Drosophila melanogaster: one gene and its partners. The protein of the gene in region 3 purifies or fractionates together with the protein of the main gene of each other region. This does not show direct contact. Each region holds a gene or a part of one and is shown on either strand. Other genes may lie near its edges.

The links.
Region 1: the proteins of Pdk1 (region 3) and eIF2alpha purify together in Drosophila melanogaster (affinity purification with mass spectrometry, with the first as the bait; one large-scale study listed by BioGRID). This does not show direct contact.
Region 2: the proteins of Pdk1 (region 3) and mahj purify together in Drosophila melanogaster (affinity purification with mass spectrometry, with the first as the bait; one large-scale study listed by BioGRID). This does not show direct contact.
Region 4: the proteins of Pdk1 (region 3) and levy purify together in Drosophila melanogaster (affinity purification with mass spectrometry, with the first as the bait; one large-scale study listed by BioGRID). This does not show direct contact.

What each region holds. Positions count from the first base shown.
Region 1 is NC_004354.4:16,444,624-16,448,714, forward strand, and holds eIF2alpha (eukaryotic translation initiation factor 2 subunit alpha), read right to left. Parts: upstream 2,371-4,091; 5' UTR 2,257-2,370; coding exon 1,562-2,256; intron 1,263-1,561; coding exon 932-1,262; 3' UTR 553-931; downstream 1-552. Other genes in the region: rngo (rings lost), read left to right, coding at 1-135; CG34015 (uncharacterized protein), read right to left, coding at 3,037-3,075, 3,149-3,339, 3,408-3,597; eIF4H1 (eukaryotic translation initiation factor 4H1), read left to right, coding at 4,075-4,091. UniProt on the Drosophila melanogaster protein: eIF-2 functions in the early steps of protein synthesis by forming a ternary complex with GTP and initiator tRNA. This pre-initiation complex mediates ribosomal recognition of a start codon during the scanning process of the leader region.
Region 2 is NT_033778.4:21,622,994-21,631,036, reverse strand, and holds the start of mahj (mahjong), read right to left. Parts: upstream 6,008-8,043; 5' UTR 5,842-6,007; coding exon 5,432-5,841; intron 5,373-5,431; coding exon 5,222-5,372; intron 5,100-5,221; coding exon 4,281-5,099; intron 4,222-4,280; coding exon 3,949-4,221; intron 3,884-3,948; coding exon 1,760-3,883; intron 1,692-1,759; coding exon 1,571-1,691; intron 1,507-1,570; coding exon 1,409-1,506; intron 1,347-1,408; coding exon 984-1,346; intron 551-983; coding exon 490-550; intron 432-489; coding exon 222-431; intron 165-221; coding exon 160-164; 3' UTR 1-159. Other genes in the region: PTP-ER (protein tyrosine phosphatase-ERK/Enhancer of Ras1), read left to right, coding at 6,800-8,043. UniProt on the Drosophila melanogaster protein: Probable substrate recognition component of tsome E3 ubiquitin-protein ligase complex. Plays a key role in cell competition via its interaction with l(2)gl.
Region 3 is NT_037436.4:127,673-132,467, reverse strand, and holds the start of Pdk1 (Phosphoinositide-dependent kinase 1), read right to left. Parts: upstream 3,019-4,795; 5' UTR 2,646-3,018; coding exon 2,580-2,645; intron 1,739-2,579; exon of another isoform or gene 897-1,738; intron 657-896; exon of another isoform or gene 1-656.
Region 4 is NT_033778.4:23,546,547-23,549,497, forward strand, and holds levy (levy), read left to right. Parts: upstream 1-1,692; 5' UTR 1,693-1,743; coding exon 1,744-1,840; intron 1,841-1,991; coding exon 1,992-2,224; 3' UTR 2,225-2,436; downstream 2,437-2,951. Other genes in the region: wmd (wing morphogenesis defect), read right to left, coding at 944-1,064; pita, read right to left, coding at 2,545-2,951.

The DNA of each region.
Region 1 (4,091 bases), on a different chromosome or scaffold from region 3:
ACCGATCTCATGGCCCTTGGCTATCCTCGCAGCGATGTGCTTACCGTGCTGCGCCTGTGCGGCGGTAACAAGCAGGCGGCCAGGTCCGTGCTGCTCCACCGCAACGATGCCGCCTCGGGGAGCGAACTCAGCTGAACGCGGCTAGACGCACAGCCCACACCACCACCTAAAGCCGAACTCCCCATAGCCAGAAACCGGATTGCAATAGGATGATGAACAGACTGGACCCCATTAACTGGAAGCCGTTCCAACGAAATACTCCGAGCAATACCAAATAATAAGCCACGCCACGCCACATATAAAGTCAAATAGGAAATAGTAAGGACTATACACAACCACAAAGCAATGAATACCGAAACGAAAACCTTTCTAATTTAGTGAAATGTTTATAAACTGATGTCACTTTTTTTATACGAATCGTTTGTTACGATGTACAATATCTAATTAGGGTGCTACGCAGCACTACCGGGTCATTTTTAAAGCAGAGGTGGGTTGGTTTTTTCTAGAGAGAATAGTAAGCGATATAATCTAAAATTTAATGAATGAAAATCTGGACGGTGATGGAAACAAGCCGCATCAACGAAAACATGAAACAAGTAAATACAAAAGAAAAACGAAAGAATGCCTGACTATTAAATAATATTACACTTATACACAATTTGAATTAGTATTAAGGGTCTGTCAAGAAAAACTGAATTGGGTTCAATAATAAATGGTCGATAGTATTGTTTTGGATTTGAAAAGAAAAAGATGAGCAAGCGCATTTTGATTTGTCTTCTTGGGCATCTCGCTGTTTTCACTTTTATAAATCTTTAATAGCATTCGTTATATGTTATGTATATAAATTATAAAATTACAACTTCTGATTTTTGCAAAACTCCTTTAATTGTTTGTTACAGTTGCTATAGTTGTGTCTGATGCTGTGGCTACGCTAATCCTCTTCCTCCTCCTCATCCTCCTCGTTCGCACGACCCGCCCCCGATCCCTTGTGGTTGAACTCCTTCTCTGGATCGAACTGCATGCCCTCCTGGTCGGCGCCATCCTCCTCGTCATCGTCGCCAGCCACCTGGGCGTTCTCGGCCTCAGCGCGCTCCAGGCGTCTGGCCAGATCCGCCTCGTCGATGGCCGTAACCAGTTTGGGTGCCATGATCACCTTGAACTCTCCATCGTACTCGCTGGTCTTGGCGCGAATGTGCTCAATGGCCACCTCCAGAGCCTTTAAACCGTCTGTCTTCTTGGTAGTGGATGTGGTCATTACATAGCTAAAAGGATACGGATGAAGAGCGATTACGTTTAGGAACCAATTAACTCATTTAAGCAACATTTTTAGTTATTTCGATTTCACAAGAAGTTGTAAAATTAAATTGAATATAAGTTTTTCTCTTAACCAAGTGGTCATTTACAATATATACAAGATGAAAGGGATTTCCTTATTATTTAACGATAAATTTCGGCTAAAATGAAGAACAGAAATCTACAATTTTCGTATTCTTTTAATTAAAGAAACCCTCGTTAATTTCGTCTACACCAAGGGAAATTACAATAGTTTACAGGTACTTACAGTGGCGGTGCTATCAGGTTGATGCGAATGGGCAGCTCCTCGGTGCTCAGCTCCAGGCCCTTGGTGAGCGATGCCTTGACAGCGTCGATGCCCTCGTAACCGTAGCAGGAGCACTCGATGTCCGCACGGATCTTGACAGTGGGCGAGACCAGCTTCCGCTTGATGTTGCTCAACAGGACCTCCTTGGTCTCCGGTTCCAGGTTGCACTCATCGAAGACGGTGGGATCGGTGACCGATTGCTTGAAGATGTCGTAGGCGACCGTCTTGTTGTTGTACTTCTTCTCGAAGTGCCAGGCGGTCTTCTGGTAGAGATCTTCCAGCTTCTCGTTGCCCTCGAAGCCGAGTATGTCGGCGACATGGCGGAGCAGTGAGTTGATGGCCTTGGCCTTAGCGAAGCGCTCGGTGCACTTCTCGACATCTTCGGGCGAAACGCGACGCTTCGACAGATCGATGTAGCCCTTCTCCTTGTCAACACGGATAACCACCACCGGTTCGGTCTTGCCGACACGAATCAGCTTGTTGATGGAGCGGATGCGCCGGCGGGACAGCTCCGACAGCAGGATCATGCCCTCGATGTTGTTGTACTCAAGCAGATGAACGTAGGCGCCCATCTCGGCGATGGACAGCACGTTCACCATAACGACATCCTCGATCTCCGGATACCGCTCGTTGTAGAAGCGCGACGTCAGGGCCATGTTAAAGTCTGTGGTCTATGGCCAAAAAATGGGCAATTTGGACTTTTCGAAATGAAAAACGTGTACAATTTCTGCCGAGCGGGCGCAAGAAGAAGAAGCGTAAGGTATGACAGTGGTGTTATCGATATTTAATTGCGTAGCCGGCAAAACGTTGCCAATTGGATTGCTTCTGGTCACACTGGAAAGGTGGGGCAGCAGCGGTCTATCGATTGTTTGTCACATGGATTGCCGGTCAATTTCAAATTTTACTGTTTTGGTTTTAATTTTGATCAGAACATTCGAAATAATAGTCCAAATGTGGAATGCCATCCCTTGGCGAGCTTGTTATTTAAATACCAATCAATTTCAAATTGGAAATGTTAATTTTTGTTAAATTTATTGCAATATTACAAAAATTGCGAAAATTGACCCAAAAGTTAAATTCTCAAAAAGTTATATAGATTGCTAATACTGATAAATAGGAATAAAAAGCAGTTGTTCTTTTATCTATATGTCACTTTTTATCCATGTTATGATGATAATTCCCATATGTCAAATTTTCATTTTTCATATTTATCTGTTTAAATTTGCAGAACATTTTAAAAGGTTGCATATTATCGCATACAAAAAGGCCATTAAATATGTAATGACATGTAGCTTGAATCGGTTTTTTTAGAAGCTACACTTTTAATTTAAAGAACATTAGAATATTTGTATAGGTTGGCTCCGTTTATTAGTTAATTATGACAGCGCGCGAGTACAATATATATTTATCTAACAGTTATCTATGATGGTCCCGATCTATTCTTTTTGGGAAAGGTAAATACGCGCCTCGTCGACCTATAATTAAATAGATAAGATTAAATTAAAGCGGGCCTCTAAGTGGTCAAAATCAGAATAGCCAAATACTTACGGTTTTGAACCAAACGGAGGGTCTAAAGATCATCTTAGATAGGAAGGTCATTTGGGTGCGTGGGCTAATGGCATGCATGTGAAGATGCTTCACCGTGATAAACGGCGGCAGATGGAATCCGAAGAGGGCATCATCGACAGAAACTCCCTTGGACACCAGAAGATCCTTCAGGGCGTTCTCCATGAGCTGCACTGTAAGGAATCCAAGGATATCAGAATTATTAGGGCATGGCCCGAGGTCACGCCAATTCCAATCTTACCCAAAGAATCGTGCGATTTGTTAAGATCCTTGAGGCTAGCGTAGTGCTTTTTTGTCACTGCTAAGTAATGGTGCTGGGAAGCGGGTTTAATGTCCTGGAAGATGACAAAGTCATCGTTTTCGACTTCCAAAACAGTGGAGGGGATCCGCCCATCGGAAATTAGGCAGAAAATGCAGTTGTCGTCCGCCATGACTTAATTTTAAGTTCAGTCTATATAAAATATAGCAGTTTGTACTTTCACAGCTGATTAGTTGTACTGTCGATAACGATAAGAACTATCCTGGTGCTCCAAAAAAAAATACCGCTAAATAGATTTTCAGTATTAAAAAAAACCATTTGTGTCCAGTTACTTTTAGTATTATTTTTTTCAACAAAAAAATTTATACAAACATATGTATTCCTCTCTATGTATTCAATGTCATTTTTGAATGTTTCATTAGAAAAGGAACAATTGTAGAATGCTAAACAACTATAAATATTAATCGATATCTGAAAATTGGACGCAATTGGGCATGCGTCCCTGCTAACGACCAAAATACTAAGAAAGGCGGCTATCAGCTAATTGGTGTGGTGACACTGCCCGACCAAATTCGCCGCGATAGTATTTTTCGCCCGTGTGTTCACACTGCGGTTTGCAGCGAATTCGCTCATTTGAAAAAAATAAAACATGGCTGGAAGAGGTGG
Region 2 (8,043 bases), on a different chromosome or scaffold from region 3:
ATGCTACGACGACTGTTGCTTGCTCATCCTTCCATGCGCGCTGCGGACAACTAAGAGGTTCAAACGAGACGAGACGAAACAGTGGGTGAACAGTGGAGCGGAGCAGTGGATCGGTGAAGGAACAGTTGTGTGTGTTGTTGGTTTGGATGAGGAGTGGGCTCAATCTAGGGGAGGAGAAAATACAAGTCGTACACGAACAGAGTCTAAAGATCTTGAGTTACCGTCTGAGCTGCTTCTATCGAAGTATTCCAGCACATCAAAGTCGCCATCGTCGTCGCCATTGTCGGAGCCGTCGTCGTCGTCACTATCGTCATCGGAGTCCAGCGGCTCTCCATCATCGTCGTCCTCATCCAGATCTTCGTCATCGTTGTCCGAGCCATGAAGGTTACGAAGCAGGGGGAAACCCAGTAAATTTTGACCTATAGCAAAAGCTAGGGAGTAAGGAGATTTAGCAACGGATTAAATGATTATAATCAAAATCAAACTTACTGTTCTCGGAGCCCGTATCCGAACCGTCCTCATCAGATTCGGGCACCTCCTCATCATCTTCCTGCAAGCATAGACATAATATTTAGTTCAATATCATCCATGCGCCGCATGAGGGTTCTCAGATCTATGGCAGCGCCGATTCCGACTCCGCCACCACCATTAAGATTCAGATTCCCATTCCCGCCACTGCCATTGCCGCTGCCATTGCCACCCAGTCTACGTGCCCGCCGTCGCACCCCAACAATTGAGCTGTTGGGTGCATGTTGGCGAGAAAGATTTGGACTTGCTTGCGTGGCGGGACTTAGCCGGCGTAGCTGATCCTCCTCAAAATCGTTGGGACCGGCGGGTGCAGCGTTTTCCGCCGGCTGTGGGCGCTCCTCGGGTGGCTCCTCGAAAACCCGAAGCAGCGAAGCATCGCCACCATCGTTAGCGTTTGCCGACCCCGGCGCCACTGCGTCCGATACCTCGCTGGCCAGCTCCTTAACCGCACGCACCTCTTCCGAGCGCTCGCTCTTTTTAACGCCCACAGCGTAGATCTTCACGTAGGTCTCCTGTTTGGACTCGTAGCCACTGTAGTCTTCGACCACGGCGATCAGACTCCCGTTGGCGCTGACGCTCAGATCGTTTATGTTGCGTTTAACGTCAATGGTCGCAATGCTCGAGTAGTCGTAGGCGTCCAGAACGTTGAAACTGGTGTCGTAGGTGGTCGTCTCCATGTCATGGTCCCTATCAGCCCCCAAGCTAGCACCGTAGATTACATGCATCGGGGAGAAGGTGCAGTTACGCTGGTCTAGCACCGGCACTGTCTGCAGCAAATGAAAGGTGCGCAAGTCCCACACCTCGGTATTGGCAATGATCTACAAATTGTGTTGGAAATATTAACATGGTATAAATAAATCAACACAAATTTCGACTGTACCTCCAGACAGTTGGGATGGAAGACGCCTGATATGCACTGATTAAACTTGTCGAACTTGTGGATCTCCTTTCCGGAACGCACATCCCATAGAACGCCATCTAGGAATTCGATTCAGTTACATTTCAGGTAACTTTATACTTATAAATGCATTTATGTAATTACCCGACAAAATCAGCTCATCGGTTCGGCAAAGAGTTGCTCTGTTTTTGGTGTAGAGATTAGGTATGGTTGGCGTAAACGAGGCCACCTTGGAACCAGTGTTTATGTCAAAGAGCGTGGCGCACTGTGAAAAAAAGGTGAATTTATTAGTTGAAACTGCTATAGATCGTAAAATAACTCAAATTAGTATACCTCATTCTGGGTGCCCAACAAACGATCCTGCACCGTTTGACTGAACTCACAGTACGTGACATCGGGAAGTCGCAACTTTAGCTTGAACTCATCGTCCGCAATAGACCATAGAATGCTGGTGGGTGTGCGCCAGAAGCTAGATGTGATGACCAAGTCTCCGGCTCTATTAGCCTTAATAGCATCAACGCTAAAGTTGTGACAGTTGGAGAAGAACTGCTCCACGCCATCGTTCATGTTGAACACTCGTCCGTCGCCCTGCTGCGTGCCCACAATGATGTATTTACCCGCCAAATCGCAACAGGTGAACTCTAGGTCCTCGTAGTCCGCCGATCGAATGCTACGCCATGGTGAAAAGTGCGTGTGCACATAGCGACGGTCAAAGCGACTGGTATTAAATCCGGCTTGGGTTCGAGCATGCCGACTAGTCAGGTTGTAGTTCGAGCTTAGCAATCGGCTGGGCTTCGGATCTGGACACTTGTGCGGCTCGTACAAATCAAACTGCGGGCAGGTTGTCACCGGATTATTGCACAGCGAGTGCTGGTTGGTGAGGTATTCCGTTACGATGGTATTTAGGGTGATCCTCTTGGGATGCAGTTGACCATCTTCGGCAAGACCAACTGACATGCCACCAGGCTCCATTGCCTGCTTCTGGATAGAGCGGCTAACTGAACTTCTATCCGTCCTCCTTATTTTTATGGGCGTCTGCGTTGTGTTAAGGGAGCTAAAATTTGGTATGCTGACTCCATCTCCCGCATTGCTACCACCGGCTCCTGCCGGCGAGGAGTCCTCACCAAAACTTCTGTTTAAGTCTCCATTGCCCATTATCGCTGCGTTCACATCTTGCATGCGGCTTCGCAGACGATTTCTAGACAGCGAGCTACTACCACTGGGAAGACTTTTGTAGTCGAAAGGTGATTGATGAAAACTGCGCGTAGTGGGAGTCTGTAGCGGAAGACCCACCTCCCGTTGCAGCATTTGGGCTGTCTGGGAGAGACCGTTGCTTTCCAGGTGCTCGAAGATAAGCTGATACAGCTGCTGCTTGTTATACTGGATGCGTGTCTGGGCGATTACATTGGCCTTGTGCATGTTGGACAGCGATGGATCCAAAGGATTATTTAGCGGTTTCGTCTTACCCGACACTCGTTCTAGCAACTCCAATGCGTACTTTTGGAAGATTACATGTTCCGCGCGCTTCTCCTGGAGTATGGGATCCCGCATCAGCGTCTGGAGTTGTCCGCTGGCAAAGAGTGGAAGCTTGCTGACGATCTGCCTGACCCGATCGGAGCGAGCAAGTCCCGCCAAGGCCCTACAGGCCATTCCACGTATACAGTCCGCATCCGTAATGGGTCCTTTGGTCTGCATCAGCGATAGCAAGACCACAATGCCATTGTTGGAGCACACGGACTCCCACACACGTTCAATCAGCTCTTCGGCGTACTTATGGTTGGCCTTGTTCTTCCTGGAGGACGTTCCAAACTTAATCAGGCTGGTGCCGCTGTCCTTGCGAATGATCGGAGAGCAAACACAATGGCACAGCACCGCTAACGCCGATTTGATAACCTCTGCATCCGAGCTAATCTCTCCTGCAGCAGCGCCCAGAACCGAGCAAAATCCGGAGGTAGTTGTCTTGTCTAGCATCAGCAGGCGCTCGCAGAGCACAACATAAACTCTTGGGATAATACAGCATACGCTGAGCACGTCCAGAGCCGAGCGCACCGTCTCGGAGCGTCCACTGTTCACCCAATCGTAACTGAAGGCGATGATCCTGAGTAGCATGGTGATTCCACCAAGCTTCATTAGCTGATCCACGGGTTGCCAGTGCGCCCGGATAGAAGTGTGCTCCTGGAGCGTGCGAATCTGGTCGTTCAATTGGTCAAAGGTCAGTTTGGCAGCAACCGTGGGATTCTGATTGAAATAGTGGGCTGATGACGGTGCCGGGGATGCCGCATTTGTTTGGCACAGAAAGCTGTTGTACTTGTAGAAGAAGTGCGCCTCCATATAGCGCTTGAGGGCTACGCAGACGTGGCGCACCATTTGTCGGGAAGCACATTCTACGTCTTCGTTGAAATCAGAGTCATTATCGCTGTCGTTGTGGCTCGGATCAAGAATTTTTAGTACGGAAATCTATTAGGAAGAAGTTAAGGTAATTGACTTTAATCGAACTTCTTTCGTTTAAACCATTTACTTACGACATTGTACAGCTTTCTTAAACCATCCTGAGCATCAAACTCATCCAATATGACCTTAAATTGGAAGCTCAGACTGAAGAACATGGTGGCATGGCACTTTGAGGAGTCGTGGCAACGACCCAGAATCCAAAGCGCGTAGCGAACTAGTTCTGAAATAAGTGGTCTTTGCATACTGCATATGCGTTCCATGGCGTCTTCACAGTATGCTAAGTAGTAGATGGCGATGGACACACCAGTAGTCGCCAAACTGGGGCGGGGCACTTTTAACAAAAGCTGTAAAAAATAGTAAAGTTAAAAATAATTACATTCCCTCTACAAGACCATTTACTGACCTCCAGTCCACCGTGTGAAATGAACTCTAAAGCAAACTTCTTGTGGCAAAGAAGGGAAGCCAGATACTTCAAAACTTCGTAGGCCAAGCAGGTGTCCCGGCGATCCAAGTTCTCCAGGTAGCCAAAAATTAGCTGCATCACATTGTTTTCGAAAGCCATGGCTAGGAACTCTTGATATTCGCCCAGGCTGGTCAGGAAGCGCATGATTAACATTTGGCTGGTATCTGCTGTGGCCGGGTGCAAAGGAATGTACATCCGTTTGTAATAGCGAGATACGGAAAAGGCATCTCTGCTGTTCTCGAACAGAATGGACATATTAGAGGCGTCTCCATGCTGCGAGGAACTTGCTCCCAGCCCACTGCCATTGTGCTGCGGCGATTGAGGAGCCGATGCATTACTGGCGCAGGCCACCCAGCTAAGCATGCCCGCCGTGCTGCTGTCAGCCGACAGATTGTGCATCGACGTATTGACATCTGAAGTGGCGCTCTTGCTGATCGCCAGGAGCATGTGCAGACGCTTGATCATCTTTGGCACCAATCGAATATTAAGATCGCGAAAGTTTATGGCTATGTCGCTCACTTCCATCGCTTCGGCTAAAAGCCCGGTGGCATAGCTCTGAAGCGGTTCAATGCTGTCCTCTGCCCAAGAGTAGATGCGATTGATGGTTCCATCGCCTTCGGCGGTCTGAAATACTGCAGAGGTCTCCATTCCTGGCATTATCTCCAGAATGAGGCGGCAGGCCAAGATGTTTAGTTCTAGAGAACTGCGACTGACATTCTGGCGACTGAAATAGTTCTCTCGCAGGTAATCGTTGAGGAGCTAGTTAAATAAAATATTTCACTTTAGTTAGCTTATGTTTTGGAAATTCTAAAACACCTGATTTTAAGAAAACATTTACATTGCTTTTTAGAAAAATAAAAATCACATGACTTTATTCTTACTTTGCCCATGAAGGTATCCTTCCGAAAGAGCAGCTTGAGTAGCAATCCGTACTGGCAGCTGGGATCGGCTCTATATGGATGTCGTGAGTCCAAGGGATCCGGATCCTTGCGCCGATACACGTCCTTCTCACGCTCAAAGATCTCCGCAAGGCTGCGATAGTAAAGGTATTAAGTTGGACCCATGCGTTAATGATTTTGAAGCACGCTTACCTCCTGAGAGTGGGCACTGGATCGTATCCATTTTGGGTCTGCTGTTGCTCCCACTTGTCGATAATCTGGGTGAGCTCCTTCTTGGTGGCTTGGCGACGGTCGGCGGCAGCGGTTTCCTCGGCGTTTCCACCGCTATCGCTTTCGTTTTCCGCATTTTCCACGCTCATGGCGTCGTCAGCATCAGCGTCTTCGTCGGCCTCTGGTTCCCCCCCATCCTGTTGTTCAGCGGCGTCCTCTTCCTGGTTATCGCCAGCCTGCTCCGGCATATCCTCGGCTTCTGGCTGCTCCTCCTCGTCGCTCTGGTAGGCCACAGCCACAGCTTCAGCCATCAGTGCCGCTTCAGTCGCGGCCTCTGCCTCGGCCGCAGCCTCTGCTGCGGCCGCATTCTCGCTTCCGCTGCCCTCAGACATCGAAATGAATTACTGGGTTTTGGATGCACTAGGTCTTGATCCAGTGGCTTTCTTTGCTAGATTTTCGACACAGCGAAACTTACTTCTAATGGCGAAATAAAGCAAATAAATAAGGTATTAAATACCACGCGCTTTTCGCAAAATTAGTGTGGCCTTTTGCTATTGTCGTTGAAATAATGAAGTCAGCTGTCGCACAAATTTGTTTGTTTTCGTCTTTCGGCAAATTAAACCAATCTAAAAGGTCTTTAAATAAGTCTAAAGTACACAAAAGGATTTAAATGCCTAACTCAATTAATTATTTCCAAGCAAATGCACAGATAAAAGCGTGCCAAAGAGCAACGTGCAACTGTGAGGTAAACGGAACGGTGGTAATAGGAACACTACGTTGTTGCTTCTAAATTGTTCACAACTTTGTAGTGATTTCATAAACAAAAATACAGGTAGGTTGAAATACTATTTAGAACTAAGTCTGTGATCTTTTACAACAATTTTTCTGGATGCATGCAAAATATAATTGTCTGATACCATCTCAGTTGATCGATTGAATTAACTATCGCCCGTGTACAACATCTGCATTACAAATTCTGCAACTCCTTGATGTAAACACTAGATCTGTTAACCTATTCTTTCTTTTTATTTTAAAAGACACTTGAAAAATGCGGTTAAATTAGGTACAACGTTGCCAGGTCTTGGTGCAGTTAGTCTGCGGCCTGGCAGCACGGTAAGCAATGAAGGCATTGCCGGATCGATTACATACGCGGTCTGGTAGCCCTCCATGCTTTAGCTCTGAAAATGTTGTGAAAAGAAAACGCTCTTTTCCCCATGATTTGCGTCCAATTCGGAAGTGCTAACTGTGCGGGCGAGATAGTTATAATGCCGATCGAGTGAGGACAAGACACTAAACGGGCGGAGCGACTGCGCTGCGATCGCCCCGCTTCAGCAATTGTGTGTGTGTATCATGGACAAGCTACGAAACAACAACAAGGAGAATGCACCCATTGAGTACCCCTACCCACAGACCCCCCGTCCCACCCACGCCGCCCCCTCCGACACGACCCCACTTGAAGCTGGCGAGGATGCGGAGAGCAACAAGAGTACACCCTACTTTACGCCCCTCGAGTACCTGCAGACGTCCTTCGAGTTTCCGTCGCCCACGGTGGAGGTTGGGGGCGGGGTTCCGGGCTTTCCCGAGCACGAGGATCAGGAGGAGGAGGTCTTCACCCCCCGGCAGTTCACCATTACCAGCCCCCATCCAGCAGCCCACGTCCACCATCCATCCAGCTCACAGTCTCCCACTTTAGGCCGCAAGTTCAAGAGGTTATCACAGTATGATCGCCGATCCTGCTCGCCGCATATTAATACCTCCAGCGGCGAGGAGCGGGTCAGTGGCCGTGGCATCGACAAGGAGAACACTATGCCCAAGGGCGGGTCAGTCGACCAAGACCTAGAGAACAGCTTGTACTTGTCGAAGAGCGAGCACAACTCACCCACCATCCTGTTTAAGGATGAGTCCTCCACGACGCCGGGACTGGAGGCCAGTCGCCTAAGCTACTCCCCGAAACTACTATCCTCCATCAACAACCTAAACGTGTCCGGTTCACCCCTGAACATTATTAACTCGGCCGGCTACAAGAACGGCAACTTCTTTCGCTTCCCCGAGATCGATCATGTCGTGCAGGATGCGCCCATGGATACAGTCTGTTTAGAGGAAGCTACACGTCGGGATCGTAGTCCTGCGTTGGCCGAGCCGCCGGAGCAGCAGCAACAAAAATCGGAAGGGCGAAAGAACCGCAAGAATAAAAATAATCTCACCATTCGCATCACGGACGTGCCCATAAAAAACTCGAGCCAGCCATCACCATTGCCCAAGCCCAAGACACCGACTATCAAGAGCACCAAGGAGAAGGCCCGCTCGCTGGACTCGGCTGCCAACGAATCGGAACTGTCAATCGTGGTGCACAACATAACCGAATCTCATGGCAGTTGTGATGACATGGAGACAGGACAGAGCCAGCCATCGACAAGTGTTATCCACCATCACCTTCATCTTCAACAGCCCGCATCCGCTATCCACTCAACATCGCTCTCGCGACTGGATAGTCACCTAAGCTTGGCCAATCAAAGACGAACGCCGCGCAGAAAGTCACCAGGAATCAACACCACTGACTGGCTTATGTACCACCGCAAGCAGAACCCATATCA
Region 3 (4,795 bases):
CAAATTCCAATGGGCACACGAATGAAGAAGAAGAGCCAGCCACCGCGTACACGCACACACTGTACAGAGCGAGCGCGCGTATTTTTTCGACTCTGCGCGTGCCTGTGTATATGTATGTGTGCGGCTTTAATTTTATTTAATTCTTAGCTTTGATTCTTAACATTCGTATTGTGCTTCCCTTGATTTGCACAATTATGAAACCGCCGCAGTATGTTTCTCGAAACAAATCACAAAAGTTCGCCAGAAACAACAATAATCAAGACAATAATTCCGACGCAGTAGGAAAATTTATAAGAAACGAGACGCTGTATGTGTCTGTTATTTTTTATGCCCTCTTATTTTTCTAGGAACTGGCTCACACTCATACGTTGTACTACATTAATTTGACTAATGAAAACAATCGGTTAAATACTTTGAACACAACACGGAGGGAGAATACACTTATTTTTATTCCGATTTAGATTTTATGTAATTTATTTGGCCTTTTGTGGAGTATTATTTAATCGCACCACTACAGCACTACATCACACGAACTTGGGGCGTCGTGTATTTGCCTGTGTATGTATATCAATGCCAGCGCGCTATGGGTGTGTGTGTGTGCGTAGTCGAACGCCGCGTGCACGAAGCGACTGGTTTGAAATCCAATAAGAAACTATGGTCGGGCGAGACTTTGACTTCCAAGCATTTGGCTCGAGCAGCGAAACCGATGGGAGACGAGCGCCACCCGAGAGAACTCTCTTTGGCGTTGCCGCCCCCGCCAAGCTAACCCTCGGCGCTCTCAGTTAAATGGGGCCAAAGCAGCGCAGTCGTGTCGCCGCTGGCGTCACAATTTTTTTTACAAGGCGAACAAGTTGCGCGCCACTTTTGAGAGCGTAATTGTTGCACTGTAATTGTTTGCCAGTGACTTTTTATAAATAAACACGACGGGGCAAAGCGAAAACAAGTTTCAGTCGAAATCCACACAACTACATAAGGCCAAAGAGAGCGCACGCTCTTTTTGAAGAGAGAGAGTGAGAGAGAGAGAGAGAGAGAGAGAGAGAGGGGAGACGACCGCATTCCTAACTGTAAACAAGCAAGAAGCGGAGACACTATAAAAGTGGGAAAGAGACAAGGCGACAGGCTAAGAATGCGGCGCTGCTGGAAAAACTCGTTTTTCCCGCTGGAAAAGGAAAATATGGATAAAAAAGAATTCGAGGAATTTTCGTGCGAAAGAGAAAGAGAAGTGGTGTAAAAATAAACAAGAATCCGAACCCGATTACGAATACATACACAGGGCAACGAAGGAAGAGAATTGGAATAGCTGAAAAACAGAGCGGACAAAACAAAATGCTTGAAAAGCGAAGGGGCAGCTCAAAGCGGACAAGCTGATACGTAGTAAAACATACCAACGACGGCAACTTCAAATGTAAATAAGTATATAAACGAGGTATGTAAGCGGATGAGTGTGTGCAACAACAACAGTAAACCTAATGACAACAAACCGAGCAACAGACATGCAAGTGAAAGGCCTTTGCGTTGTTTCCCATCCACTACTCAAGTTATTTGCAAAATAAAAACAGCTAAAAGAAGACAAAGTGATGAACTCGGATCGGGAGAGAGAGGGGCATAATTTTACTTTTGGCTGCTTGCAAGAGAAAATAAAATAAATAATTCATTTATTGGTTGCTGCTAATAGATAGCAATTAAAAGTAAAAGAAACCACAATAAATTGTTGTTTAGAAACCAGCTGGAATCATTGTGTTTTTTTGCTGTGAATTTTTGTTGTTGTTTTTAAAGTATCAAGCAATTTGCGAGGCAATGAACTGCAGTTGTTAAATAAATTTAGTCAACCCCTGCGGCTTCATTAAACTTTTTTATGCATTTTATTTTCGTTGTCGGGTGCCTGCAAAATAATTATACACATCCACTGCCTATTTATGTCGAGTAATATAAGCATCTGAAAATGTATTCATAATCAACTCCATCTAGATAGCTTTTAAAGTGGTTGTTATACAGACAGTCGTTGAATTATCTTATTTTATTGCCCACTTAGTGAGGAGTTTATGGCTTTGATCTTTATATATTATACCAGCATGTGTTGTCAATGGAAATTTTTTAGATGAAATGTACGGAAATATTTAAATTTATTGGTAACAAGAATTGCAAAAAGTAAAAATACTTTTTTTTTTTGCTATATAGCTCAAACATTAAATTTCACAGCTTTATGAGTATTTCATTATTTCATGTCAATAAATTATTTTGCAGCTTTTGTATTTTGTAAACAAAAATTTGTACAACCAATTCAATTTTTTTTTCCAAGAACAATTTTGTGTAATTTAACGATAAAATTGATGGGAGGTATTTTCTCGAAAGCATTACTTGTAGTTTGTAAAAAAAGTTTTACTAAATTATTTTAATTAAAAACAACTTTAACAAATTGTACTTTCGCATTACCCCATATCTATGCTATAAACTTATTTTTTAACACCTTAACAAGTCTCATAAGCCTCATAAGATATATTCACTTAATCAAAATTTAAATAAATATAAGTATATATGTATCAGGGCCAAACACCGCACCTTTTTAAGACACTATTTACCTTGATAGACTTTATTTTGCGCACAACGTAGTTGTTAATTTTGTTGGACCAGCTTTTACATTTCATGATATTTTTCGCGTTCTCCGCCGTTCTCGGGGAGGATGAAGAGGCAAAGACAACGGTAAACGGATTGCTTTCGTCACTTGAAGTTGCTGCCCTCACTCATTTCAGTTTCATTTCGTTTTACCGGTTTTTGTAATATTTTTTTATTTGCTTCACTTTGCGATATTTATTCACTTGAGTTTTCACCGCCCGGCGACAGTTGCAAAACCTTTGTGATTGCAAATGGTAATTATACGTATACACGAAGACTCGGGTCTTACTCGCATTTCTTTTTGGCGCGATAAAAGGAAAATTGGACGTTGTGGTTTTTCCAACAGGGCGTCAAATTTGTATCCGTGATTACGACCGAACCCGTCAAATTTCCGATTCGAAATGAGTCGAAAAGGCGAAAGAAAAGGCAAGGAGAGCGCGCTAAACTGGGAACGGCGGCATTGGGCCACAGTTACCAAATCGTGAGCGCGGAGAACTGGAAGAGAGATAGAGAGTTATGGGGTAAAAAAGAGTGCGGAGAAGTGTAAGAATTTTCATTTGAGTTTTAATCGACACATGAATAATGGGAAAATTATGTTATTTTTTATTAAGTTAGCTTTAAATTTATATTTTTGTATTCTTTTTTAAATAATTAGTTTTTAACGGGTTTTGTTTGTTTTTCTTTGATTTTGCGTATATATTGCATCTGTTGAAACACGTTATTGTCACCCTAATGTTGGATAGCTATTAAATTTGGGTATTTCTGGAACTTTCTTGAATTATTTGCAGGTCTTTCGAAAAAACAGTTATGCATATCCTATTCATTTCACCGATTTGCAAGTCACGGTTCCGTTATTGCCGCGAGTGGGCAAGCTATTTGCGTTTTCTTTTACATTTCGAATGCGCCGCCCATTAATTATTTATTTATTAATGAGTAAGTGACGCACTTGTTTTCATCCACTTATTTGTTGTTACTGCAACGAATCTTGCTTACATTTACATACATACATACATAGGTACATAATTCCATCAAGATCATGCATCAGTGCCACGCCCCCATCTATAAAATGAAATTGTGGACAACGTCGCTGTCGTAAACTTCCAAGGCAATTATGTATGTATGTATGTGTACAAATGTGCATTTTCTGGAATTTAAACTATTCCCGCTCTCTTCGCGCACGGATCGTTCGTTGATCCGCACTCTGGGTTCCACATTAGCATAAGTGTAAGGCCTTCTACACAAACGCGTTCCACAATTCATTCACATCGCCTGTTCCACAACTTTCCGGCGTTCCGTCACGTTCGCGCGCCTTTTCCACCCAGCGTGAAAAAATTCACTTGCTGCTCCCGCTCCCGCTCACGGTTTTATTCTCGTTTTTACGTTTTACTACGAAGCGAAAACAAAACAAAATTAAGGGGAAGCGGAAACTGCAGTTGCTTTGGCTTTGCTGACGTGGATGCCGACGCTTTCGTCATCAAGTTTTTCTCTCACTTTGTTTTTTTTTCTCTTTAAGAAATATTGTAAATATTAGTTCTGTTCCTGTTATGGTTTTTTATCTTGTTAAGAAATATTGTAAATATTAGTTCTATTCCTGTTATTTTCTATATTTGGTTGAGTTTCCATTTATGTATTATTTAAATTTCCTAGCTTAATTTGTTTAAAGACTTACTTGTGAATTGCTGCGTAGTTTAAATAACACAGTTTAATAAACACATTTAATATTCAAAGACCTTATCAATTAGCAATATAAGTAATATTTCTTTAGTTTTTGTGTACTTGTGATAAGCACTCATTCAAACTGAACGGCGTTTAGGCTCAAATAAATCTATGAAAATTACAATTCGTCTTCATCGAATGAACTTTGACTGCATATTTTAGAAATGGTCGCGAATTTTCTTCTTACCTATTTTATTTTATATAATAATCAAATTCAATTTAATTTGTCTCACCCTTAGCGAGTTCGGTGGCTTAGTTAAAATCGTTTTTATTTGGCCTCTGCTTTTAGCATTTTGTGGCTAATTTATTTCTTGCTTTCTGCTAAAAAATATTTGAAATTAGCATTTTTAATGGGCAGCAATCGAGGTTCGGCGAGACACAATGTCGCCTGAAAAATATTTTTAAAATCCCATTTGCATATATTTTCAGCCAAGCGCTTAGTATAAAAAGCTAATTTCACGAAATC
Region 4 (2,951 bases), on a different chromosome or scaffold from region 3:
ATGCTGTATCCGAATAAATTGCAGCGGATCGGGATCGGGAGAGTGTATCCAGCAAGCAGAATCTTCCAGGCGGCAGACAAACGGCAGCTGCATATACACACAGCATATAAATATAGAAGTTCCAAGGTGCTTCCTGAACGAGCAGTTTCGAAAAGTTGCTAAACAAGGGGAAGCGAGTACGTTAAAAGGCGATAACGAAGTCAACTTGAACTTGCAGTGGGAACGAGCGCTCTTTCCGCATAAAAGCAACATTTGCGAAAGCCACGAATGCAAAGTGCCTGTAAAAAACAGGCAATAGCTAACGAATTGCGAATTGCAACTGCCATGGCAATTGCAATCGCATCGACTGGCTGACACCTCAAGGCAAAGAATGCGAGTTTTGTAGCATGCGAGTGGCGGCAGGCAAAAGGGTTTCGCACTCGCAGAAAACAGGTTTCGCTCGCGATGAGTGACTTTGCATTTGGGTCAAGGTTTCCCACAGGCTAGACATGATGCTACACCGTGCTGGCCCGCCTGTAGTTCATGTGATTCCATGCCGCTCTGTTGCAGCACCTTTCCCACGAACATAACGATCCGTCAAAGAACACGGACAACATAACTTGTTTTTCGACATGGCCTTCTGGGTAAAACATTATTTGCCCTTCCTACAAAACTATACTACAAATTTGACCAATAAGCAAAAGTAACTGCCTGTTTTTACCAGGAAACTTGCTGTATAGACATTAAACTATTGCAAATGAACACTGTCTATATAGAAACACTAGTTAAATCCAATTCTTACGGAATCTGCGTTGTGTCCCAGTTCGTCAGTGACTGACACTTCCGATTTTAACCCCATCGTATGATTATGACAACCACTGTGCGACGACGGAAAGTGGTGTATAAATAGCGCGCAAGGACGGCTAATCGCATGCGACTGGCTGCCCGATCCCGCGGACCTTACCTTTGCAGGCCGAGATGAGAAAGTAGCCGGCGTCGCAGATGTCGCTGAAGTCCAGGTGGACCACGGGTCGCGTGTGGCCACTGCAGGTCAGCGGGATTTGTCGCAAGTTGTTGGCGGCCATGGCAGTGGGCTGCTAGTGGATTGGTGGACTGTGTGGTCCTTAATACTTGTGGTTTTCTCCGAGTGTAGCGACCGTTATGTCCGCTGGCGAACTGTGCACTTAGTGAATAACTGACGTTTTGTGGCTACTTTGTACTTGGATTGGTTGTTGCTCCTGGTTAACTGCGCTTCACTGCCCGTACGATAATGATTTTCCCGTTCGTTGCTTAGGTTCGAGATGCTGCGGTGGCTTTGCAGGGTGTGCAGTGTATTTACAATCTGATGCACTGAATTTTATAAACAAGAGGGGAAAATAATTACGCGACACGTTGTTGTTGTGGATGGACGATTGGTAGCCGACTCCAGCCTCGATAGTCCGCACACACAGTACCTACCTATCGTCAGCGGTGGGCGCGTGAGGCGATAACTTCTCGATTAGCTAGAGCTGTGTCACGGCAGCCAGGGGAGGATACAAAGGAAAAATGTCAAATTACTTATTTACAATTTGGCATAGAATTGTTTTATTTTGTTTTTTATTTATATTAAGCCAATTAACAGCTTTGTTGTACGTAATTTAGAAATCACGGCCAACCACTATCGATATAATTTAGCGAACGAGTCACGACATTATGGATGTAGCCCATCCCTATTTACTTGTCAAAACAGCAAATTTTCATTCGGGCCAAGAATCGACTGAAAATATGTCCGCTATTCTAAACCACGCAATTCGCCGCCAATTCGGCGCTTCTGCCGCCCGGAATATGTCCGGCACCGCCGCCGTGGCCGGCGAGCACTCTGGTAAGTGACCGTCCAGCGTCCCAATTGCCAAATTCATCCCCTTTTGTAAGGTTAAGGTTATGTAATTTACCATTGGGCAAGATCGATTGGTGGAGAAGGATTCGCTCTTATAACACATCCTTTCATGCTCATCTCATCTCTCATCCTTCAGGTGGCTACAAGGTGTGGAAGCGCCTGTCCTTCTTCGTGGCCGTGCCCGCCGTGGGACTGTGCATGCTGAACGCCTACCTGAAGCACCAGGAGGAGCACGACAAGCCCCGCCAGGAGTTCGTCAAGTACGACTACCTGCGCCGCCGCGAGAAGCGCTTCCCCTGGGGTGAGGGCCAGAAGAGCCTGTTCCACAACCCCCACGTTAACGCCCTGCCCGACGGCTACGAGCACTAGGTGGCCACCGTCTCCGGTTCCCTCTGCGGGATGTATTCGTTGTTTGGTAGTGATAGACGTTAATGTAAACTGAACTTTACGCGGAAATACACAGAAAACACATATACCCAAACTCCAGTTGGCGCTTCAATAAAGATCAAATTAGAGCGAGGAGAGATCCCATAAAGACCATTTCAATGAGCGACAGCGGAATTCTGGTGAGGAGTTTATTTAAAAGGCCTTCGGTTAAAGGAAAAATTAAAAGTTACAATTAAATAGAATTTAAATTTAAGCATAAGCACGGATGCACTTTTCGCATGCAATATATTCAACTACTATCATTATTTTGCGGATCGGCGATTCTTAAGGTTGCGTTCCAGTTTGTGATGAGGCTTGCCTTCGTTCTTTCCTGTCTTCTGAGTGATTCTTTGAGCATCCCGACTGCGAGTTTGGCGCACGGATTGCTGGGCATCCTTGGGAGGATTGGTTTTACGCTGCTTTGGAGGCGGCGGCGTGAAGGATTCGTCGCTATCGTCTAGGTGGTCCTCATAGAGAGCATCGTCTTCTAAGTATTCCGTCACGAATTCTTCCTGCTTCACATTGTCCATGTCTTCAAAATCGTCAAGATGTTCCTCCTTCTCATCGACGCCGCCTTCTCCTTCGCCGTCGTCTTCGAACTCGTTCTGGTACGGCTCCATTTCCACCACATGATCGTCCTCGATGTGGCGCTGCAGGCATTTCTGCGTCA